Mus musculus: one gene and its partners. The protein of the gene in region 4 purifies or fractionates together with the protein of the main gene of each other region. This does not show direct contact. Links are inferred from orthologs where the notes say so. Each region holds a gene or a part of one and is shown on either strand. Other genes may lie near its edges.

Region 1 (6,308 bases), on a different chromosome or scaffold from region 4:
GAAGCAAGCAGATCTCTGTGAGTTCAAAGCTAGCTGATCTACATAGTAAGTTCCAGGAGGACAAAACCCAAAACAACCCCCACCCCAAAAATAAACCCGAAAAAGCAAAAAGCATGTAGATATGTGCGGTGTGCATGTATGTTTACATGTATGAGCGCATGTGTGTGTGTTTGAATGTGGGAAAAAGTTACAGGTTGAGATAGCGCATCTTCCTTGATTTCTCTCTATTTACCAAGGTCTTGGGCAATATCCTTGCTCTGCCTCTGGAACTGGAGTTACAGGCAGATGAGCTGCCCCACTCAGTGCTGGGAAGGAAAATCTGGTCTTCTGCAAGTGTTCTTAGCCACTGAGCTATCCCTGCAACCTCGTTGTGCTGGTAACCACAGCTTCAGTGAGGTGATGCATGCAGCAGCTGGGTCCTGTCTAGACAGTTCTCACAGAAGACTGGCCTCTCCCGAGTTCCCAGAATCTCGGGTGGGAGCAGATATAGACCATTCACCTGCAGTTGAGCCCTGTTCCTTATTCTTTGCATTTTGACCAGTTGTGGATCTCCTCAGAAACCTCTACACTAATGTGCTGCAGAAAAACGCTTGGCAGTTTTTCAACCGGACAATTGAAAGCAACACAAATCCTTGAGTATAAATATAAATATTTAGAAGGCATCGTGGCAACATGATAATGTAGCAAAATAACAGTACATATTAGAGGGGAGACCCCTCACCTCCCAGATTACATTAAATTTCATACAGACAAACCTAATGAAATTAATTGGGTCGCAACAAATGATGCCTGTCTTATGGTTTCTGGTCCAGGATCAAAATCAACTAACTTGGGGAGGAAGGGTTTATTTCAGAACAGAAAGGGTTTATTTCAAGGCAGAAACAGGATGTAGCAAATACTGAAGAAAAGGTTGTGGAGGCATGTTGCTTACTTTACTAGTCCCTCATACCTTAGCAGGCAGGAGTGCCGGCCCAGGGGTAGTACCGCCCACAATGAGCCTTTCCATCCTGTACAGATTAAGATGTCCAACTTCCCAATATGAATCTTCTCAAAGTTTTCATGAAGTTAGTGTCATGTTTACATAAAGCTTAGCAAATACAACACCTTTTGGGTTTGCTTCACCTAAACAGTTAGTATCTGACCTTTTTACAAAGTGAGTTCGAGGACAGAGAAACCCTGTCTTGAAAACACCAGAAAAAAAAGAAAACAAGTTGTTGGTGCTAACTGAGATAGTAAAACTTATTTCAACTGACAATTACCTTACACATCATTCAAAAATAAACCTAGGGCTGGTGAGATGGCTCAGTGGGTAAGAGCACCCGACTGCTCTTCCGAAGGTCCGAAGTTCAAATCCCAGCAACCAGGCTCACAACCACCCGTAATGAGATCTGATGCCCTCTTCTGGAGTGTCTGAAGACAGCTACAGTGTACTTATATATAATAAATAAATAAATCTTTAAAAAAAAAAAAAAAAAAAAAACTAAAACACCAGGTAGAAAGCAAGTCTTTCGCAATGCTAAAGTAAATGTTTTCTATTTTTTCAACAAAAATGCCAGGGGAGAGCGCGAACGCAGTCCCCCACTACCACAAATTATGCAGTCGAGTTTCCCGCATTTGGGGAAATCGCAGGGGTCAGCACATCCGGAGTGCAATGGATGAGCCTCGCCCTGGGAAAACCACCTTCGTGATCATGGTATCTCCCCTGCCAGGTAAGTATGAGTTGCGAGTGCCGTGTGCAGGCTCTCCATCATTGTATACTTACTTTATAACTACGGTCTCTTCCTCAATGCGTCTTCTCTACATTATATTCTCTTTTCTAACCTTGATCCATAAATATACGCTTATATTATGTAAATATTATCAATAACGGAAAAAAATGTCTATTTAGGGAGAACCGGTAGCCTTTGCGTGAAATTCTCATCTACATATTCCACGCCTTTGTGGTGACGCCGCGGGAACTCGTCTGTAGGCCCCTCAACGCGACTCCGCCCACTAAGGCTGTGAGGCGGGGGCGGGGTTTGTTGGTAGTGGGCAATCGAATCTGGAATTCAAAACCTAAGCTTCTGCCCAGGCTCTGGGCAAAGAAAAAGTTTTTTTTAGCTCAATTCAGTTTCTGCTAGCGGAGGACAGGATTCTAAGAGATCCACCCTTGTTAAGTTTAACTAGTAAAAGAAAAATCGTTTTTCCGTGGTGTTTTTCTGAGTAGGTCTATTATACATTATTTACTTGCACACAGCCAATAAACCTAATAAAAACCATGAGAGAAGGGCTAAGATAACAACTTTGAAGAAATAAATCTGACTGGATAGTGATATACAACTGTAATCTCAGCTCTCCGCAGGTCACGGTAAGCAGAGCGAAGCCAGCCTGGGCTACATAACTGGTTACAGGTTAGACTGGGTTAGTGAGACCTTTTCAAAACCTAAATAAAGCTTAAGTTAAGAGGAGGAGGAGGAGGAGGTGGCGGCGGCGGCGGCGGCGAGAAGAAAAATGCACAAAGACAACTGCTATTTTCAGCGGAAAAGAAAACGTAGAGACGTGTTAACATTGACCCTCCGCACGCCCCGTCTCTTGCATCCTTGTCACTGGACGGCTTGCGCAGGCGCACAGGAAGGACTCGCAGTACGGGCGGAAGTGGAGTCTCCGGGAAGCTTTGGGGAAGGCGCTGGCGGAGTACACAGACGCCGGGGCGGTGTAGGCGTCCTCAGGTCGCCATGAACCGACTCCAGGATGACTATGACCCGTACGCGGTGGAAGAGCCGAGCGACGAGGAGCCGGCTCTGAGCAGGTGGGCCGCTGCCCCGCGTCTCCGCCCTGCCTTGGCTGAGGCCGTTGTGTTGTTCGCGCCGGCCGTCCCTGGGCGCAGTGTCGTCCGCTTCACTTGCGGGAGCCTCGGGGCGCTTGATGGCGCTGCTCAGTCTCTAGGGAACCAGGATGGACAGCAGTGCGGGAAGAGGGATGTTCCGGAATTACGTGGGCCCCCAGGCGTGAAGCCTTAGATGGAACCCTGTTTACCGTTTACTAGCACTGTGACCGAAGGCAAGTCAGTTCTCGGCCTCGCATCTGTAAATGGAAATACAAGTATGGGACAGTGTCCTAAGCTAGTGAGGGCCTGGCCCTTAGCACGAAGTACTTATCTTGAAGACTGTCAAGTAGAAACTAGGGAATAGAGAATGGAAAAAAAAAAAAAAAGGAATGGGCTTTTTTTTTTTTTTTAAGTTATGATCTCCACACGCATGCCATAGCACCCATATGCCCATATACACAACATTTTTCTTTCTTTCTTCCTTCCTTTCTTCCTTTCTTTCTTTCTTTTGTTTTTCGAGACAGGGTTTCTCTGTATAGCCTGGCTGTCCTGGAACTCACTCTGTAGAGCAGGCTGGCCTCGAACTCAGAAATCCGCCTGCCTCTGCCCCCCAAGTGCTGGGACCAAAGGCATGCGCCACCATGCCCGGCTATACACAACATTTTTAAAACTGTAATTTAAAAGTTAAATGAATTAAGTCAGACATGGTAGTGTATGCCTATAATCCCATCATTTAGGAGGCCAGAGGGTGAAGAGTTCAAAGCTGGTTCTGGGCTACGTAAGATTTTGTCTTAAAACAAGAAAAAAATGTCCAAGGCATTTCTTGCAGCTGGCTTTTGCTTTGTTGTTCTTTTTCCCGCAGTTTTTTTTTTTTTTTTTTTTTTTTTGTTTTGTTTTTTTTGAGACAGGGTTTCTCTATAGCCCTGGCTGTCCTGGAACTCACTTTGTAGACCAGGCTGGCCTCGAACTCAGAAATCCACCTGCCTCTGCCTCCCGAGTGCTGGGATTAAAGGCTTGCGCCACCACGCCCAGCTCACGCCTGGCTTTTTTCTCCGCGTCTTAATCTACAACTTGTCTCCTTCCATGTGGGTCCCAGAAATTGAACTCAGGTCATGAGGCTTGGTGACAAGCCCTTTGTCTGCTGCTGAGTTATCTTGCTGGCCCTGACTTAATTCATTTTTGTTGTTTTATTTCTTCCTATTATTGATGTACATTTATTATAATTCTGTTGATAGGAAACTAATCACAGAAGTCAGTCTACGATGACAGAAGTTAGTTAGAATTTGGAATGTACTGTAATTTTCTTAGGGCTATGATGTAGCTCAACGGTAGAACAGGTGCATGAAATGCTGGGTTCAGTTTCCAGCTCCAGGAAGAATAGTCAGTGTGCATAGTTCTCTCTATTCACAGTTTGCTGTAGCATAGTTTTCCACGTCTTTTAAATTAAATTATAGTATTTAATTCCTATTAAATATTTTATGTTGGGATATTAATTGTATATAATTATATTGGTTTTATTTAAATAAAACTCAGTTCTTTGAAGAAAGTTTTTTTTTTTTTTTAGTTTAATAGAATTAGTTAATGAATTGGTATAATGGTATTGGAAAGCAGTGTGATAATACGAGAAGCCAAAAGGAAAGCTGGAAAGATGGCTCAGTGGTTAAGAGCATTGGCTGTCCTGGCAGAACACCTGGATTAGGTTCCCAGATCTCACAGGGCAGCTCACACCATCTCACTGTAACTCTGGGGGATCCAGTGCCCTTTCTGGCCTCTGAGAGCATCAGGCAATACAACTGATATATAGATACACGTACAAGTAGAACGCCTATGTGCATACAAGGAGAAAGAGATCAGGTTATACTTGTGGCTCATGTCTGCAGCTCAGCGGTCAGGGAGCAGAGGCAGGATTGTTGCAGGTTTGAGGCTTGCTCTATATAGCAAATTTCAGGTTAACCAGAGCTATATAGTAAAACTCTGTCCCCAGAACAAAAAAGAAACCCAAAGCCAAAACTGAAACTAGGAAGGATTAGCTCATCTCTTGCCTATTAATGAGCATAATCTATGTGTAATGTGCTAGGTATATCCCATGCAAGCTTTTAAAACTTATAATTGCCATTGAGCAGTGTCTTAGGGTTTTACTGCTGTGAACAGACACCATGACCAAGGCAGCTCTTCTTATAAGGACAGCATTTAATTGGGACTGGCTTACAGGTTCAGAGGTTTAGTCCATTATCATCAAGGTAGGAACATGGCAGCATCCAGGCAGGCAGGAGCTGAGAGTTCTACATCTTCATCTGAAGGCTACTAGCAGACTACTGACTTCCAGGCAGCTAGGATGAGGTTTTTTTTTGTTTGTTTGTTTTGTTTTTTTGGTTTTTTGTTTTTTTGTTTTGGAAAACTCACACGCAACTTTAATAGGAGCAGCCCGACAGCATGCTCTCCTGTGGGCACAGACTAAAGAATAGGATGAGGTTCTTAAAGCCTATGCTCACAGTGACACACCTACTCCAACAAGGCCACACCTCCTAATAGTGCCACTCCCTGGGCCAAGCATACACAAACCATCACAAGCAGTAAGATGATGATAGAAGTTTTAAGTAATTTTGCTTTGTTTTGTGGTGCTATACCTCAGACTGAGGGCTTTGCTCATGCAATGTATGTAAGTGCTATACCTCTGAGCCACACCTAGGCCCTGATTTTAATACTCATATCCTCTGTGCTTTAAATGTGTGCTAGTTCTGAAGATGAACTGGATGTGCTTTTACATGGAACCCCAGACCAAAAGCGAAAACTCATCCGGGAATGTCTTACTGGAGAAAGTGAGTCATCAAGTGAAGATGAATTTGAAAAAGAAATGGAGGCTGAACTAAACTCCACCATGAAGACAATGGAGGACCAGTTATCCTCACTGGGAACAGGTCAGCTTGGGCTTAGTTCTCATAGATATCCTGTAAAGGGTTGTGTTCTTTTGTGTCTCTAGAACTTTGTGTAGGTGCTGAAGAATTACTCTGTGTGTGTATATGTGTGTGTGTGTGTATGTGTGTGTGTGTGAGTGTGTGTGTGGGGGGGCGGTGCTGGGGGTTAAACCTGGGTCTTGTGTTTGCTAGGCAAGTTGTTCTACCACTTAGATATCTTTTACATTTTTTTAAAAAAGATTTATTTTATGTATATGTACAGTACACTGTAGCTTTCTTCAGACACACCAGAAGAGGGCATCAGATCCCATTACAGATGGCTGTGAGCCACCATGTGGTTGCTGGGAATTGCAGCCAGTGCTCTTAACCACTGAGCCATCCCTCCAGCCCAATCTCTTCTAAATTTTTGAGACAGGGTCTGGCTAAGTTACCTAACCTTGAACTCACTGTATGTAACCTCTGTGCTCCTTTTACCTCAGCCCCTTGAGTAGCTGGGTGACAGAGCTGCAGCAATGGGTCTGACTAACACAGCACTTACTAAATGAGGGAGTGGATATGCTTGGTGATCTGGGCTTTGATGACTGATG
Region 2 (6,123 bases), on a different chromosome or scaffold from region 4:
GAAACAGCTACAGTGAAAGTCATTGCAAGGACTTTACAATAGTGACCATGATAACATTGAAGCTAGACTTGCTACTACTGCTGAGTGTGTCTGCTGGCTCTTTCTAAGGAGTAATGTTAGCTTTTTGTCCTAAATTTGTTTCCTTCCTTTCCTCTCTCCCTCTGCTGTTTTTTCTTACCCCTCTTTTACTTTGCTTTCCCCTCTCATCTCCTCTCTTAACAGAGTTGTCCTATGCAGCCCAAATGCCATCTTCCTGCCTCAGCCTCCCCAGTGTTGAAAAATACTCTTTCCACAGGTTATGTTAGGAGACTGGAGTCTGCTCAGTCGGGGAGGGAGCCTGGGTCAAGTTCTGAGCTCAATTCCTTTTCTTTCTTTCTTTCTCTCTTTCTTTCTTTCTTTCTCTCTTTCTTTCTTTCTTTCTTTCTTTCTTTCTTTCTTTCTTTCTTTCTTTCTTTTAAGACAGGGTTTCTTTGTATACCCTGGCTGTCCTGGAACTCACTTTGTAGCTGGCCTGGAATTCAGAAATCTGCCTGCCTCTGCCTCCCAAGTGCTGGGATTAAAGGTGTGCACCACCACTGCCCAGCCCTGGGCTCAATTCTTAACATTGTGGAGAGAAAAGTATTGTAGCTGTTCTGGCCACCTGGAATTACTTTGTTTCTGATCTTTTGCTGCAGTCAAATCCTTCTCATCCATCTTTCCTCGTCAGGCTATAATATAGACTCTCCTTGCAATACTTGGAAATGCTCTACAGTCAGCTACATCCTCAGTCCTGCTCCTATATTTTTTCCTAAGCTTCCTTCTAAGGTCTTTATTGGTTTATGATTTACACAGAACATTTTTTTTTCTTGTCTATAGCATGCGTTAGAGTGATCGTTGCCAGATAGAGGAAAGAGAAATGAGAGAAGAAGGTCGTTACCAGTGAAATTCCCCAGAGACATTTCTAAGTTTTCTAGGTTATCTCCTTTCCATCTCCCAAAGAAGCACGATTATTTGTTTTGATACAGTCTCTCTCTAGATCCTTGGCTGTGCTGTACTGGAACTTGCTATGTAGATTTGGCTGGCCTTGAAAACACAGAGATCACCTGCCTCTGCCTCTCAAGTTCTGGGATTACCATCATGGCTGGCAGGGTTTTTATTTTTATTCTTCAGTTAATTTTGTTGCTTGAAGCTCCAGGCATTAAATCTAGTACGTTACTTCTAATAATCAAGCATTAAGCTCAAAATCTGGCGCCCTGAAGTCAGATTACCATGCTATGCTTGCCAGTGCTCATCATGCTGTGTTACAAGAATCTTTAGGCGTTGGGAGAGACAGCTTAGGGGTTAAAAAGATTTACTGCTTTTGCAGGGGACCCAGGTTCCCAGCACCCAAGTGGTAGATCATACCTATCTCCATTCCAGGGGAGCTAATGTCTTCTTTTAATCTCCCTGGGTACCAGGCATGTCCGTGGTGGGCAGACATACATGAAGGCAAAACATTAATGATTCTTTGTTTTGTTTTGTTTTGTTTTGTTTTTGAGGTTTGGTAAACACTATATAGCCGAGGAAGAATTTGAATGTCTTTTTGAAAAAAAAATATTTTATGTATATGGGTTGTTTGGGTTGCATGTATGTATGTGCACCATGTGTGTTCTGTATCTACAGAGGGCAGAAGAGGGTTTTCAGATCCCCCTAGAATCAGAGTTTCGGACAGTCGTGAGGCACCATGTGCTGGGGATCACACCAGGTTCTCTAGAAGAACAGCTAAAGCTCTTAATCGTTTAGTCCTCTTTCCAGGACCAGACTTTGAATTTATGACTATTCTGCCTTTAACCTCCCGCCCCTCCACCCCCACCCCCCACCCCCCACCAGTGCTGAGATCCTACAGGTCTATGCATTGCCAGAAATGGAATGAACCAAGGGCCTCCTGTACAAACTGAAGTACATTCCCATCCCAGATCATCATACATTTTTGCCAGCCTTCCTTCTGCCTTGGATGGTCCAAGAGTTATTTGACTCTTTGGTACATAGTTACCACTATTAACAGTAATGTAATGAAGGAATAGAAGAACAAAGGATTCATTGAGTAGGAGTTAGTACTACATATCAGCTCTGAATTCATGAGAATAAATATAGGGGAAATGTGCAACGTACGCAAACTTATTAAAATTGTATGGCTTTGGCTTTTGAGGAACAATATCAATAGCCAATTAAATGTCAGATCTATTAGAGAGGGCTCCTAAACTGACTGGCAGAAGGCGGGGCGTGAGCCTACCCTGACCACACCCCTCGCCCTGAAATCCGCTTTTAGACCCGCCTCTCCGGCTCGGGCTGCAACGTCAATTGGAGATGTCGCTAATCCATCAGAGCATCTCGGCGTCTATTGGATGAGCTTCTGAGCCTGGTTGCGCACTTCCTGGAGTTGGGAACGCGGAGCGGACGTCGTCTTTCCGCCATTGCTCTGCGAGCCTAGCCGCTACCTGAGTGAGGGGCGACAGGTGGGTGGTGGGCGTCTGAGGCTGAGCGCAAGGTAATCGAGTGGGCCGAGCGGCCCGAGGAGCTGCGCCAGGCCCGGGTCCCGAGCGCTCAGCCCGGCTAGAGTGCAGGCCAGGGGGCTCCGGACGTGTTCCATCTGCCCCTTGTGGGCCCGGGCCTAGCTCATTAGTTTTGGCCTGCCTCTCTATCCCAGATTCTCCCGGCATGGCCGGAGTGTTTCCTTACCGAGGGCCGGGTAACCCGGTGCCCGGCCCTCTAGCCCCGCTGCCGGATTATATGTCAGAGGAGAAGCTGCAGGAGAAAGGTGAGAGGCGAACGGGAACGGCGTGCGCGGGCTCGAACGTGTAGGCGGGTTTCATTTCTTCCCTCCATAGGCAGGTCATCAGGGGTGTGCTTATTAGCAGTATTTACATTTTTAAAAATTGAGTCCAATCATTGAAAGTTTGGAAGTGCCTGTTATTTTGCAGGAGCTTATTGTGTACGTGTGTGTGTGTAAAATGCATCAATGACGATAAAACCTGTTTCCTTATAGGGTTTGCATTACTATGTAGGAATTAGACAACAACCCTCCCCAAAACATCTATAGCAAAAATATCAGGTGGTTTGGGGTAGTAAAATGGCAGGATACTTGGCAGTGAGTATTTCTCTTCACAGCATGCCGAGGGTTGCCCCAGGGCAAGAGTTAGGGATAATTAGGGTAAATGTGTGCAGCCCTTTAAGCTGAGGTGCTTTTCTAGCTCGAAAATGGCAGCAGTTGCAGGCCAAGCGATATGCAGAGAAGCGGAAATTTGGGTTTGTGGATGCTCAGAAGGAAGACATGCCACCAGAACATGTCAGGAAGATCATTCGAGACCATGGAGACATGACCAACAGGAAGTTCCGTCATGACAAAAGGGTCTATTTGGGGTGAGTAACATCCCAGGATAATATCATATGGAGTTTGACTTCTTTCCTTCCTCTGCCCCTTCATTGACAGTGCTGGATAGAGGGACTAGCATTTGGAATGTGACTTTTTAACTGAGACAGTTTCCCTGTGTGGGCATTTTTGCCCTGGATTTAGCTCTGTAGACCGGGCTGCCCTTTAACCGATAGGGATCCCCATGCCTCTGCCTCCAAAGAGCTGGGATTGAAGGCAGATGTCACCGTGTCCAGCATGGAACATGGCTCTAGGCTGTACATAGGATGACTGTAGGAGTAAGGCTAGGACCACTGGGATTCTGTGATAGTTTCCAGATCGTCTACCTATGCCATTGATTGTTTTGCTTTGCCCTGCTGGTGTTGTTGTAAAATGTCTGGTATTGTGGAACTGTTTGAAGCTCAAATTAAGACACTAGGCATTCTGGATGCCTCTTTGGTCACTATCATTCAGAGGTTTAGGATAGTTCATTCCTGGGGTCGCTCTTTTACTGTTAATTCTTCCACCTCAAGCTGCAGAGATTCTTAACATTCCATTTGGATACAAAAATTTGGCCTGTTAATTAATTGATGTGGGGGAAGCCTTGGAAGTTTTTTTGTTTTGTTTTGTTTTTGTTTTTTTTCCTTTTTAAAGATTTATTTAATTCATTTATATGAGTGTACTGTAGATGTCTTCAGACACACCAGAAGAGGGCATCAGATCCCATCACAAATGGTTGTAAGCCACCATGTGGGTGCTGGGAATTGAACTCAGGACCTTTGGAAGAGCAATCAGTGCTCTTAACTGCTGAGCCATCTTTCTAGCCCCACCTTGAGAGTTTTATTGCAAAAAATAATTTCTTAGCCAAAAAATAATTTCTTAGCCAGGCAGTGGTGGTGCACGCCTTGAATCCCAGCACTCGAGAGGCAGAAGCAGGCTGATTTCAGAGTTCAAGGCCAGCCTGGTCTACCGAGTGAGTTCCAAGACAGCCAGAGCTATATAGAGAAACTCTGTCTTGAAAAAACCATTAATAGAAATAACAATACATGATGTGAATAAAAGTACGACGGCAAAAAAAAAAAAAAAAGAAATAACAATAACAACAACTTCTTGCCGGGCAAGGTAATAGCATACGCCTGTAACCCCAGCACTTGGGAGTCTGATTACTTTGAGTTTGAGGATGGCCTGGTTTACAGAGTGAGTTCTATAACTGATAAGGCTGGACAGAGAAACTCTGTCCTAAAAAATAAAACATCAACAACAAAAATAACTTAAGCAGCCGTGGTAGTGTTTGCATGTAATCTCTGCCCTTAGCTGCAGAGGCAGGAGAATCATGGGCTTGAGGCCAGTTTGAACTACCTGGTGAGATGCTCCATCAAAAACAGCAAAGCCACGTGTGGTGGCACAGGCATTTAGTCTCTGTGCATGGGAGACAGAGATAGGTGAGACTTCTGTTCTATACAGTGAGTTTCAGGCCAGCCAGGGCTATACGGTGGGACCCTGTCTCAAACAAACAACAATAAACATTATTACTGTTATTATTGAAACTTGCTTTTGGTCTTCAGTGAATAGACCGTATTGGTCCTTTTTTTTTTTTTTTTTTTTTTTTTTTAGGAGTATAAGTTTAGTGGTATGATGGATGAGAGACAAATGGTTACCACATAGAACAGGGAAGGTATTGGAATTTACAGGAAGGGTAGAAGGAAGTTGCTTTCAAAGGGACGGGTGTTAGTTTCTACAGACTGGGTCCCGCACCAAGACATTTGAAAGGGAGAGTGGTATTAGATGAAGGTGGAGATGAGGAGGCAGGACTTGTGATCGTGTAGGACCTTAGTCCTAATTTGGGACTTTGGAGTATAAGGCAGCATTTTGTGTGGAACACGTGATAACTGGCTTGTCAGCAGGGGACAGATAACAGAACCCTTAGTTCTTTCTCATGGTCTCTCCTCCTCGTTGCAGAGCTCTTAAGTACATGCCTCATGCAGTCCTCAAGCTCCTTGAGAACATGCCCATGCCTTGGGAGCAGATCCGGGACGTGCCTGTGCTGTACCACATCACTGGAGCCATCTCCTTTGTTAACGAGATTCCCTGGGTTATCGAGCCGGTTTACATCTCCCAGTGGGGGTGAGAAGGGCTGGAGTATGGTGGGAGGTGTTGGGCGCTGGGGTGGGGTGTTGCAGCTGAGATCAGTGGACATGATGCTCTTGCATTTTAGGTCAATGTGGATCATGATGCGTAGAGAAAAAAGAGACAGGAGGCATTTCAAGAGGATGCGTTTCCCCCCTTTCGATGACGAGGAACCGCCCCTGGATTATGCCGACAACATCTTAGATGTTGAGCCACTGGAAGCCATTCAGCTAGAGCTGGACCCAGAGGAGGATGCCCCTGTGTTGGACTGGTTCTATGACCACCAGCCTTTGAGAGACAGTAGGAAGTGAGTGGAACTAATTTCTGTGAGAGTTCTGCAAACAGGAGCTGTGGGGAGGCAGTAGGTAAGCGACTGGGCTCAAAACCTACTTGATGGGGGCCCTCCATCTTTTCCCTAGGTACGTTAATGGTTCCACCTACCAACGCTGGCAGTTCACATTGCCTATGATGTCCACACTCTACCGACTGGCCAATCAGCTTCTGACTGACCTTGTAGATGACAACTACTTCTATCTCTTTGATCTGAAGGCCTTTTTTACCTCTAAGGCACTCAACATGGCCATTCCTGGGGGACCCAAATTTGAGCCTCTTGTTCGAGACATCAACTT
Region 3 (5,795 bases), on a different chromosome or scaffold from region 4:
CATACCCTGGTGACCCTAGGGTGCTAGTGAGGTAAAAAAACACTCCCCTGTGACAAAAGGCTGCAGGCAGCAGGTCCGTGTGTCTTAAATTTGTTTTGGGGTGGAAGATAAGCTGTGATACATAGGTCCTGTCACTGAGTAGGGTGGTGGCTGTGACTTAGCCACTGATGGTTAACCACGCTCTTGCCATCCCTGCAGCAAGATTGTCATCAGAAAATCGATGAGCTCTTCTCTGGGAAGCTGTACCTCATTGGAATTGCAGCCATTGTGGTAGCTGTCATTATGGTAAGCACAGGGTCTCTGGTGGGTGGGTGGGATCCTTCCCAGGGCCTTAGGTGCTGACTATGCCCCTCCCTCCTGCAGATCTTTGAGATGATTCTGAGCATGGTGCTGTGCTGTGGCATCCGGAACAGCTCCGTGTACTGAGGCCCTTTGCATTGCACCAGAGGATCCCTGGAGTGACCAGAGGCCACCTTGGGGGACATGGCCTGTGTATATAATATTTCTGTATCACTCTGCTACACTTAGTCTTTTTACTTTTGAGTTTTTTGTTTTGTTTTGTTTTGTTTTTGTTTTAGTTTTTTTTTTTGTCCTGAACTTTTCCTGTTACCTTTTGGGAGCTGACATCACACATGGGTGGCATATGTGGGATGTAGGGGTGGAGCTGGCCCTGGCTTGCAGGGCCCTGTACGTCTGGGACCCCTGGAGAGTTCTGCCTGCTGAGCCAAACCTCCTCTACAGCTACTTGCCCAGAGGCTTTGTAGCCTAGCTAGAGGGCCATGCCCACCCACTCAACCCACTGTGGGTCACATTGCTCACATCTTTTTAATCTTTGTTCCTTTCCTGCCTCCATTTCAAGAGCTGGGTTTGTAAGCCCTCTTATGCCTTCAATGCACTTATTCTTTCTAACGTGTCACCTTCAACTGTAATTAAATCTTGAAACAGTCATTTAATAAAGGAGGAAAAAAATCAGGCATGCTAATGGGACTGCCAGACCTCTTCCTGTGCTAGCGGTGTCAGAGACCTGGCTCATCAGCTCTGAACTTTGCCAGGCACAGGGTGAGCAGGTCCAATAGAGGCTGTGGAACACAGTGGGTGGGGAGGGCTGGGACCCTGGGAGCACTCCATATGGGTCCTCCCTCATTTGTACCTCCTTATACTGGGAGCTCAATGCTGACTTTACGCCAGCCTTGACCTCATTTCCACTCATCTGTTGGACATGACAGGTCAGGCTGAGTCGGGTAGGAGGAGCCACCTAAGCAGGGAAATTCAGCACAGAATGATGGAGATAAGCTGCAAGAACACCCTCCTTTTCAGGGACAAGACAGTAAAGGTTAGCCCATTACCCCATCCATCTCAAGAAAAGATTCCACGGAGCTGGGTGGCTCTGGCTTGTGTCTCAATAAGTAAAAGGCAAGATGGCAGTTCACTTACCCCTGTGAACTGAGGATCAGGCTAAGCAACCTCCCGGACGCCAGGGGCAACCACCACTGTCTCTTTCCCTTTGTCTCCTGTCTGCGCCCCTCCCCCAGGCTGCTGGCATAGTTAATTGGCCACTAGAGGAGAGACGCCCTAGCCAAGATTCATGGCCCAGCTTCTAGCAGCCTCCCAGTAGGCTTATTTGTCGGTGAACCCCAAGCTTGTACTAGGACATTCTAGGTCTCCGCCACCTCTACCTCCCACGCCTATGCAACCTGTTCCGTGCTTGGTTGGTTTCTGGTCTGAGGAGCCCTTTATATCCTATGTTATGAGGTCCATGGGCACCAGGCCAAAGCTGTTGGAGGCCTGCTGCACAGCTTCAGAAACATAGGAAAGGAGAGGCGCATGCAGCAGCCCCATGGTGTCTCAGACTCTGATCCCTAAGGATACAAGAAAACAGCCCCACGCCTGGAGGAGGATTATGTGTGGCCTTGACTAGTAGGGGCGGCGTCCTGCAACTAAAGTGTCCGTTCCTGCGTCAGGAAGCACAGACAGGCAGAGCCCAGGATAGCGGCTTCGAATCTCTGAAGCCCCAACCAACCCACCCCAGGGACCACTACGTCTCTTCATGCCAAGAGCCAACCAGGACCTTGGCCCCGCCTCACTCCAGAAAGCCAACAAAGCACAAGACCCACACCACTTCCGCCCAGGGCCGGAAATGTCTAGGAAACTGGTTGGCGCTCACAGTGCGTGGTGACGCACTTCCTCCTTGTGTCGGACCCGGCCGGGACGGCTTCCGACAGGCGAAGCTGCAGGCCTCAACCCTTTGCGATTGGCAGTTAGCCCTGGAGTATTGTGGGAACCGTGGCTCCGCCTTTTCCTTTTTCGTCATTTCTGGGTGGGTTTCCGTGTGCGCTCCGGGTTGGCACGCTTGTTAAGGTTACAAGTCCCGGCTGACATTAGGCGGGAACCCATTGCCTTCTGGGAGTTGTAGTTTCTCGGGCGCTGAAGCCACGAAAATCTGATCGCCCGAGACTCGGTTTCCCAGGAACCCGAGCGAGACTGGACAGGACCGAATCCCGGGGAACTGGCGGGACGCTGCGAGAAAGGCGGCAGGGTATTGAGGCGTGTACGGACGCTGGAACGGTGAGCACTGGCCTCCCTAAGGCCGCGGCCAGGGCATTCCCGTGCCTGTTTCTGCCAGCCCTTCGTCCGGACCCGGGTGGCGCTTGTACCTAGAGAGGCTGCGCTTTACTGAGAGCCCGTGATGGGACAAGCAGCTGATGGAGATCTCCTGTCACCAGCATCTCCCAGTGCTCATCTATTGTATGTCCACACTGTTATGATCTCATGGTTGACTCTCTCCTTAACCCCACCTAACCTGCAGCTCCTGTATCTGTGCGCGCTAGGATACCCTTTAACCACCCAGCTTCGCGAGGCCTCCCGTCCGGCTGTGAGTAGAGGCACTTGACACATAGTGGAGGTGAAAGACGGGAGCCTGGGAGGACGGGGAGGGATGAGGCCTTAAATACACCCCTCACGGCGGAACTGGGACTGCTTCGCTACAGGTGGGACGGGTGTCAGGTCGTATGGCGGAGACAGAGGCTGGCCTGGAGGCTGATGAACCCACCGAGGATGACACCCTGCCTTCTGACACCGTCTCCCTCAGCGACTCGGACTCGGACCTTAGCTTACCTAGTGGTGTGGAGGTCCAAGTGTTGTCCCCAGAGAGGCTTTCGGAGGAGGGCCAGGAGGACTCCGGCCCTGAGGACCCTCCATCGCCCCCCACGGGCACCCTCACCACTGCAGTGCAGCCATTCCACCTCCGAGGCATGAGTTCTACCTTCTCCCAGCGCAGCCACAGCATCTTTGATTGTCTGGAGAGTGCAGCCCGGCAGGCACCGTGCTCTGCTCCCCAAACCAGTGTGAGTGACAATGGCAGCTTCAGGCGGCCCGTGACTCCCCCAAGTCAGACTCCAGCAAGGGGCCTGAGCAGAGTGCATGGGAACACTGGCCCGACTAGGGTACTCCCAGTCCCTGACTATGTGTCACACCCTGAGCGTTGGACCAAATACAGTCTGGAGGATGTGTCTGAAGCCAGTGAGCAGAGCAATCGTGATGCTGCCCTGGCCTTCCTGAGCTCTCGAAGCCAGGTGTCCCACACAGACTATGTGCCTTCTTTCAACCAGGACCCCTCTAGCTGTGGGGAGGGAAGAGTGGTCTTCACCAAACCAGTGAGGGACAGTGAGGCTAGGGCTGAGAGGAAGAGGGTCCTAAAGAAGGGGGTTGGGTCAGGTGCGGGGGGTGAGGCCGCTGTGGAGCTAGCCCATCTCGCTGGACCTGAGGCTGAGGAATGGAGTGGCCACCAGGGACAGCCAGAGGTGGTGGTACCTTCAGAAGCTGCCCATCCTGAGTCCTCATCAGGCCCCATAGGTGTGAAGGCTGTTGGTTTCCATGGCAGCAAGAAGCGGAGCAGAGACCACTTCCGGAACAGGGACGGTAACCCTGGGGGGCCGGGGTCTGAGAGAGGACCCTCAGTTTGACTGCAGTGCTATCACTCTACCCCTCACCTGCTAGTCCAAGTGGGAAGGTGTGGGCTGTCTGTGGTAGGGGGATGTGTGCAGCCGCTCTGGCAGAGACTGTGGGAATTGTGGGTCAGGGGACCTCGAAGGCCTTTGTGCCCCAGTGTTTAGGATGAATAATAAACGTTTGGAATATTTCTTGAATTGTGTGGCTTTTTCCGGGCCCCACTCAAAGAGTTCTGTCCAAACAGTCCTGGGCAGCCAACTACAGGACTGCATCTCTGGCAGCCTCACCTTGCCTTCCCCACTCCAGTGAGGACTGCCGTGAAGGTTTGCCATGGTCATTTACATTTGTCACTGATGAAACTACCCAGAGGGACTGGGCTCTTAGCTGTGTTCAGCCTTGTGCCCCTGATGGTAGTGAATGAGCATAATCTGCACAACCCACCCCCACCCCCACCCCCAGAAACCAATGCAGCCCCAGCACTGGGCCTGTACAGACCACAGGTTATAGGAAGAGGATGAGTTGTGAAGCAGCATATGGTTGGTGTCTGGCTGTGTCTCCAGGACTTGTGTGTGTAAGACACAGCTGATGCTGGGTCATTCCACTGAAGCTGAGCCAGAGAAGAAGAGAAGGATGCAGGGAGGATGCATGAGCGAATGTTTCCTGTGGAGGCCAGGGACTTGGACCAAGTTAGCTAGACCTGCTAAGACCCAGGTCTGCCCCAGCCTCTGTAGTCCCCATTCTCTGAGTTCCTCTAAAAAGGACCTGGATGGTCATTTAATTTGAGGAGCAGTGGAAGGAACGGAGATGCCTTTCACTAGGTCAGACAATCCTCCATATTCCCCGGGTGTTTGAAATGTCCCGTTTAGCCACCATTGTGGCCCAGTTTAGCTGATTTGAGGTGGTCTACAGGCTTTATAGAAAGTAAAGTAGCATTGGGTACCCTTGAGCAATATCTTGGGGTTTCTGCCAGAATGATCAGACAGATAATGCTGTGGGGGGTGAAAGATGGGAGGTAATTACAATAGATCTGAGTCCTGCCCTCTAGGAGCTGGTCAGCTAATGAGTGGGTCAGGGGTCAGAAAGAAACCTAGTGTTTAAGAGGTTGGCTTCTTAGGAACTCAGGGTAAGACAGGGGTTAGACCTAAATAGCCCCATCCAGGCAGATGGTGTCCTATGTAGGACTTGGCCAGATCCAGCTGTCCAGTCCAAGCCAGTGAAAGCTTTAGTGGGACATGAAAAATCTTGCCCTGCTGGAGAGGATACTTCTGAGGCTCCCGAATAGATGCCAAAGACATGAGTTTCATTCTCTTAGGAAGGGATGTCCAAGAAGTGATCTGTAGCAAGGCCTTGAAGACCATTTCTTGGGGCTGCTGGGAGTGGGGGAAGGTTGATGTGCCCCAAAAACTCGATGTGGCCAGGTCTGGGGCTCTAGAGCAAGTGGTTTCTCCATTTCAGGTGTCAGAGGGTGGCAAGCCAGACTCTAGGTACTCCCTGTCTCTAGCAGAGGCTGGCTGACTCCTGCAACCACAGTTCTGAGAGCCTGGGAGCAAGAAAGGGAGAAAGGACCCTCAGCTGGAGAGCCTCAGCTGGGGCAGGGCAGGAGTGAGGCAAGGGCCAGGACATGGAAAGTGGCAAGGCTAGCAAGGCCAGTGCTAGGCAGAGCCTTGGGACACTAAGGAACAGTGGCCTGCCGAGGGTAACCGACCTCTAGCACAGGTGGAGAAGGCAGGACCTAATACAATACACAGCCCGCAGCTTTGCTCTTGCCCTAATCTAGTGGCTGAAGGGAGGAGCCCATACCCATCTCATTCCCATGGCCTGAACCCATACTTACTTGAGTAGGTGCC
Region 4 (5,623 bases):
GATTCCAGGAATTGAACCCAGGTGGTCAAGCCTGAGAACAAGCACCCAGACGTGCTAAGTTATCACTCCAGCCCCTCTTCAGACACACTCATAACAGCATACACATACACCACACACAACACACACACACTACAGAGAAACAAAAGAAGAAAAGATCCATTTATAATGGCAGTAGTGGTAATAACCACATGCTAATTTGAGTACATAATGATTCTTTACTTAAATCTACATAAAGAATCTAACTACGGGGGCTGAGGGGTGGCTGAACCACACTGCTACTCTGCTCTAAGGGAGTCAGTAGCTTTTCTCACCTCAGCACATGCACAGCGATTGATTCCCAGAACCCTCTTAGCAACTTACGACTGATGTAATTCCGGTTCCATCTATAACTTCAGTCCTGGAAAATCTGATGCTCTCTACTGGCCTCCAAGGGCACCAAGCATATACATGGTGCACAGACATACATGTATACAAAACACCCATAGATATATTTTTAAAGATTAAATATTCTGGGGTTTTTTGGTAAGATGCATTTATTTTATGTGTATGAATGTTTTGCGGGCAAGGCTCTATGTGCACCGAGGGTATGCCTTCAGAGATGAGAAGAGTATGTCAGGTCCCCTGGAACTGGAGCTGTGAGCTGCCCTGCTGAACCCAGGCCCCCTGCAGGAGCAGCAAGTGCTCACTCTCCAGTCTCCTCTCCCCTTGAAGAATATAATTAACCAGGCCCATGTCTGCAGTCCCAGCTACTCCGGAGGCTGAGATAGGAGGATCACTTGAGCCCAAGAGTTTAAAACCACTTTGGGCAAACTCACTACAGTGAAGGAAAGGTAGGAGCAGGACAGAGAAGGGGAAGAAGAGGGGGAAGCAGTCATTACGTCTGTATTTAGAAAACCAAGTTTATAATCTTTTTCTTTTCAGTGGTGAGGACTCAACCGAAGGCTCTGTGCATATCAGACATCTGCTCTACCACTGAGCTACGCTCTTAGCACCTGCCCTTCCTTCACAGACTCAATATGTGGTCCCATAGGTGTCAAACTCTTGGGTTCAATTGATCCTCCCCTCTCAGCCTCGTCGGCAGCTCTGAACTACAGGCACATGTCATTCATTGCACTTGGCCTCTATCATCTTTCATTACATCAGTGCTAAGGGAAAACTGGCACTCTTGGGGTTGGGAGTATCGCTTAGTGAAGTCTATGTGCTTAGCATGCACCCCACGTTAAAAAGAAAGGAGTCACTGTCAGATCGTATAAGGGCTTCTGAATATAGTTCTTAATGATTCATTTTTAATATTTTATGCTCTTTTACTATGCTTAACTCCCAAAGAATATTTTGTGTGTTTTGAAACAATTTAGTATTTAACATTAGATATAGGATTCTCAGTTATGGATAGCATTAAATATTCATTAATGATATATTTAGGGTATGAAAGGATATGAATGTGAAAGGATATGAATATAAAAGTTGAACAAATTTTTATATATATTATTTGATTCTCAAAATATTCACTATTATTAATATGTTTTATGCATAAAATGCATTTAAATAATAAAAAAACTAAGAAAGGAAAACTGAGATGACTGTGACTCACTTTCCTGCCCACTCAGAGACGGAGAGCTTAAGAAGCCTTACCAATCGCTCCCGCGTGGTGAAGCTTCTGCCCATGCTGGTGTGTGCCAGTTCCTGGTCCATCCGGGCCATGTAGGACTTGAGGCTGCCAAGGGCTCCTTTCAGAGACTCAGACTCCTGAGCCTCAAAGCCCACGTCATCATCACTGTCTACACCTTCCACGTCCTCCTCACCCGGGTCATCCTCAGAGTCTGACTCCTGAGGCTTTGCTCCTAGTCACCGAGACACAGAAGAACACTTGGTGAATTGTCCAAGCAGGGTTGTACCTCTCAAAAGGACTGGAATGTCACACCAGGGCCAAATGACTTAATCCAACTACTTTGTAAAAATCCTTTCCCAAGCTGGGCAGTGGTGGTGCACGCCTTTGATCCCAGCACTTGGGAGACAGAGGCAGGCAGATCTCTGAGTTCAAGGCCAGCCTGGTCTACAGAGTGAGTTCCAGGACAGCCAGGGCTACACAGAGAAACCCTGTCTCAAGAAAAATTAAAAAACAAAAACTTTCCCAAAACAGTAATTCAGGGACAATTATAGAATGGAGAACAGGCTGAGCCAAGAGATTCAATTTTAGTTTTTCAATAAGAATTTGACTAATTAAAAGTTTTTTTTCTTAAAAAGATGAAAAGCTGGGCTGTTGAGATAGCTCCCAAGGACAGGTGCTTTCAGTGCAACCTGGCGACCCAAAGGTGGAAGGAGAAAAATACTCCACGAAGTTGTCCTCTGATCTTTATAACCATGTTGTTACACATACACCTCCACAGTAATATATATACACACACACACACACACATACACACACACCAACAACAATAAAACACCATTTCCTTTTTTATTTAAACAGGAGGCTAGGAGTAGAACCTGAGAAGCAGGTATGAGGCCCTGGGTTGCTCCAAAAAATATAAAAAATGCAAATAAAAGTCTAGGAGCTGGAGAGATGGCTCAGAGGTTAAGAGACTTGCTGTCTTGCAGAGAGCCTGGTTTTGGTTCCCAGCACCCACACAGTGAATCACAAATGTCTGGAACTCCAGCTCTAGAGTATCCAACACCCCTGTGGCCATCTCGGGACCAGGCACACACATTGTGTACATAAATATACACAGACAATACTCATACATAAAATAAATCTTTTAAAAATACAAATACACAATTAAAAAATTAGAAAATTACATAAATATACATTGATGTCAACATTCAACTGCCCAGAGACACTGTGTCCTGCTCACTGATTTCTCTGAGTCATCCTTCAAAGCTCGGCTGCTGTCTAATGTCAGATGGAGCAGCTACAGCTCTGTGTTCAGGCACATGCAAATACAGTTTTCTTTCAGTAAAAGATTTATTTATTTATTTATTTATTTATTTATTGACAGGGTTTCTCTGTGTAGTCCTGGCTGTCCTGGAACTCACTTTGTAGACCAGGCTGGCCTCGAACTCAGAAATTCGCCTGCCTCTGCCTCTCAAGTGCTGGGATTAAAGGCGTGCGCCACCATGCCCAGCTTTCAGTAAAAGATTTATTTTCATTTGTGTGTGTATATGCTTATGCCCGTGTGTGCAGAAACGTGCATGGGCCAGAAGAGGGTCTGGATTCCATAGACCTGGAGTTATAGGAGGTTGTGAGCAGCCTAACTTGATTTCTCAGAACCAAACTCCAGTCCCTTGAAAGACCAGTAAGCCAGTCCCATGGTTTTCTTTCTTAACCTAGATGTCCTCACAGTGCACTATGGTATGCTTTTCTATATACCATGTCCTGTAGGCCTTCTTCTTGCAGACTACACAGGTGACTTCATACTTTATTATTTACCCATTTCTCTCTTGGTGGTCATTAGAGTTTGGGTACGACAACAAAAGCACTGCAGTGGCCATCAGTGACCATTTATCGTTCACAGAGCAAACCCCTGAAGTGAAATTGCTAAGTGAAAAACGATGGGCTTCCTAGAGTCCCAAACTGTCCTGTGAAACGACAACTTATACTTCTTCCTGCAGAGTTTGATGATAAAAAGAGCTGATTGTTAATTTTTTCAATAAGGTAAGAAAAAAATCCAGCTTTTATTTTGCTTGCTTACTAGGAAGAGCTGACATTTTCAGACGTTTACTGTTACTCTCCAGTGTGCAGCCTAGTCACACCATGTTTTTGTTTTGTGTGTGTATACATGTGTGTATTTTTGTTTGTTTGTTTGTTTGTTTTTTGTTTTTTTTGAGACAGGGTTTCTCTGTATAGCTCTGGCTGTCCTGGAACTCACTCTGTAGACCAGGCTGGCCTCGAACTCAGAAATCCACCTGCCTCTGCCTCCCGAGTGCTGGGATTAAAGGCGAGTGCCACCACACTCGGCTAAACGTGTACATTTTGACACACAGCCTCTCCACTGGACCTGGAGCTCAGCAGCGGCTGGAGGGATCGGCCTATCTGTTTCTGTCCCTTCAGTCCTGGAACCAGGGCCTATCCATCTGTGCCTGGCTTTTCACGAGTGGGCCAGGGATCTGTGCTCAGGCCTCACTCTCCTATGCAGCATGCACATCACTACCTGAGCACCTCCCCAGCCCTGTGCTGGTGGCTTCTCTCACTGCTTTCTAAAACGTTGTCTGAAAAAAAAAAAGCCAAAGATGTAATATGGAAGCCACACTAGAACCCTTTCAAAACAGCAAAGGTGCATGCCTGCAGTCAGTGAGCAGCTAGCAAGCCAAGCACTAATCAGGCTGCCTCGGTAGAGTGCTTCAACAGGGCAGGACTTTACAGTTTCAAACAACTTGAATCCTTTAGGAGAACGTAGTATCTTGGCTCATAAATGTCCTAATGTCCCAGTCCTCCAGCAACAATGATAGCCCTTCACAGTTTCAAAGTAAACACCACACTGTAACTCACCTAAAATCTTATCAAAATAATTCAGAAAAGAATCTGCATCAAAAGTGATTGGAGCTTCCGAAGGGTCTCTGAAAGATGAAAGGGAAAAGGGCATGACATTTCTCCTGACCACAGCTCTTTGAGGTATTTTTGAAGATGGTGCTATGCTTATAGAAAGTACCAGAAATATCCAAGAAAAGACAAATTTTAGTTTAAATAAATAGGAAAAATTCCTTGTGCTCATTAACCTTGAGTGACAATAGAAATACAAAAACCTGGTGACAGAAAAGTAAAAATGTACCTTTTACATACACCTAAGCTATGCATCTGGTGGCCCCTACGAGATACACAGTGAGAGGGACGAGTTATCTGAGATCATTAACACAACACTTTTTTTTTTATATATGTGTACCCTGTAGCTGTCTCCAGACACACCAGAAGAGGGCACCAGATCTCATTATGGATGGTTGTGAGTCACCATGTGGTTGCTGGGAATTGAACTCAGGACCTCTGGAAGAGCAGTCAGTGCTCTTAACCGCTGAGCCATCTCTCCAGCCCCCTATTCTTTCTTTCTTAACAACAAACATTGTCCAGGACCACCCACACTGAGCAAGGCTCACTGGGCTGGGGAGGAGCTCACCAGGATGGACTTGTTAGTGTGCAGAGCCTCCAGGTCAGTGCCATTACCACCAAAGAGAAAAGAACAGAGACCTGCTGTTCCCATAGCGATCTGCCTACCCTGTCCCCAGTGACTCGACACAAACAAGCTCCGGGACTCCTCCCTCCTCTGATGGGCTCCTTAAACCCCTCTCTCTGAGTTTCAAGACTCCAATATGCTTGTATGGTAGGAGATCAGAGGCTTGAGTTTATTGAGAGCTACATGCCATGAGTCTACAGATTCTGAATTAGAGTCTACAGAAGTGGAGCACGGAGAGTAATCAATAGAAACGGAGAAGCGGTAGAAGAAGAAGAGGAGGAGGAGAAGGAGGAGGAGGAGGAGTCGTTTGGCATGGGAGCCCACAACTTTAATACAAGTACTGTAGAGGCAGAGGCACGTTGATACTTACAATTTCAAGGCTAGCCTGGTCTATATAGTGAGTTCCAAGACAGCCAGGGCTATATAGAGTATAGAGAGACCTATCTAAAACAAAACCAACCAAA

Evidence for each region.
Region 1: the proteins of Ecd (region 4) and Eapp purify together in Homo sapiens (affinity purification with mass spectrometry; 3 studies listed by BioGRID and IntAct, counting the BioPlex papers as one, with this or other methods). This does not show direct contact. The link is inferred for Mus musculus from reciprocal best matches to the Homo sapiens genes ECD and EAPP.
Region 2: the proteins of Ecd (region 4) and Prpf8 purify together in Homo sapiens (affinity purification with mass spectrometry; 7 studies listed by BioGRID and IntAct, counting the BioPlex papers as one, with this or other methods). This does not show direct contact. The link is inferred for Mus musculus from reciprocal best matches to the Homo sapiens genes ECD and PRPF8.
Region 3: the proteins of Ecd (region 4) and Tssc4 purify together in Homo sapiens (affinity purification with mass spectrometry; 3 studies listed by BioGRID and IntAct, counting the BioPlex papers as one, with this or other methods). This does not show direct contact. The link is inferred for Mus musculus from reciprocal best matches to the Homo sapiens genes ECD and TSSC4.

What each region holds. Positions count from the first base shown.
Region 1 is NC_000078.6:54,692,191-54,698,498, reverse strand, and holds the start of Eapp (E2F-associated phosphoprotein), read left to right. Parts: upstream 1-2,604; 5' UTR 2,605-2,714; coding exon 2,715-2,788; exon of another isoform or gene 2,789-3,039; intron 3,040-5,542; coding exon 5,543-5,724; intron 5,725-6,308. UniProt on the Homo sapiens protein: May play an important role in the fine-tuning of both major E2F1 activities, the regulation of the cell-cycle and the induction of apoptosis. Promotes S-phase entry, and inhibits p14(ARP) expression.
Region 2 is NC_000077.6:75,484,416-75,490,538, forward strand, and holds the start of Prpf8 (pre-mRNA-processing-splicing factor 8), read left to right. Parts: upstream 1-2,361; 5' UTR 2,362-2,676; coding exon 2,677-2,776; intron 2,777-3,209; coding exon 3,210-3,378; intron 3,379-5,326; coding exon 5,327-5,491; intron 5,492-5,582; coding exon 5,583-5,801; intron 5,802-5,913; coding exon 5,914-6,123. UniProt on the Homo sapiens protein: Plays a role in pre-mRNA splicing as core component of precatalytic, catalytic and postcatalytic spliceosomal complexes, both of the predominant U2-type spliceosome and the minor U12-type spliceosome.
Region 3 is NC_000073.6:143,066,949-143,072,743, forward strand, and holds Tssc4 (protein TSSC4), read left to right. Parts: upstream 1-2,419; 5' UTR 2,420-2,565; exon of another isoform or gene 2,566-2,686; coding exon of another isoform or gene 2,687-2,872; 5' UTR 2,873-2,902; intron 2,903-2,987; coding exon of another isoform or gene 2,988-3,008; coding exon 3,009-3,962; 3' UTR 3,963-4,139; downstream 4,140-5,795. Other genes in the region: CD81 antigen, read left to right, coding at 199-285, 364-426; Trpm5 (transient receptor potential cation channel subfamily M member 5), read right to left, coding at 5,400-5,488, 5,783-5,795. UniProt on the Homo sapiens protein: Protein associated with the U5 snRNP, during its maturation and its post-splicing recycling and which is required for spliceosomal tri-snRNP complex assembly in the nucleus.
Region 4 is NC_000080.6:20,322,741-20,328,363, forward strand, and holds part of Ecd (protein ecdysoneless homolog), read right to left. Parts: intron 4,552-5,623; coding exon 4,484-4,551; intron 1,842-4,483; coding exon 1,633-1,841; intron 1-1,632. UniProt on the Homo sapiens protein: Regulator of p53/TP53 stability and function. Inhibits MDM2-mediated degradation of p53/TP53 possibly by cooperating in part with TXNIP. May be involved transcriptional regulation. In vitro has intrinsic transactivation activity enhanced by EP300.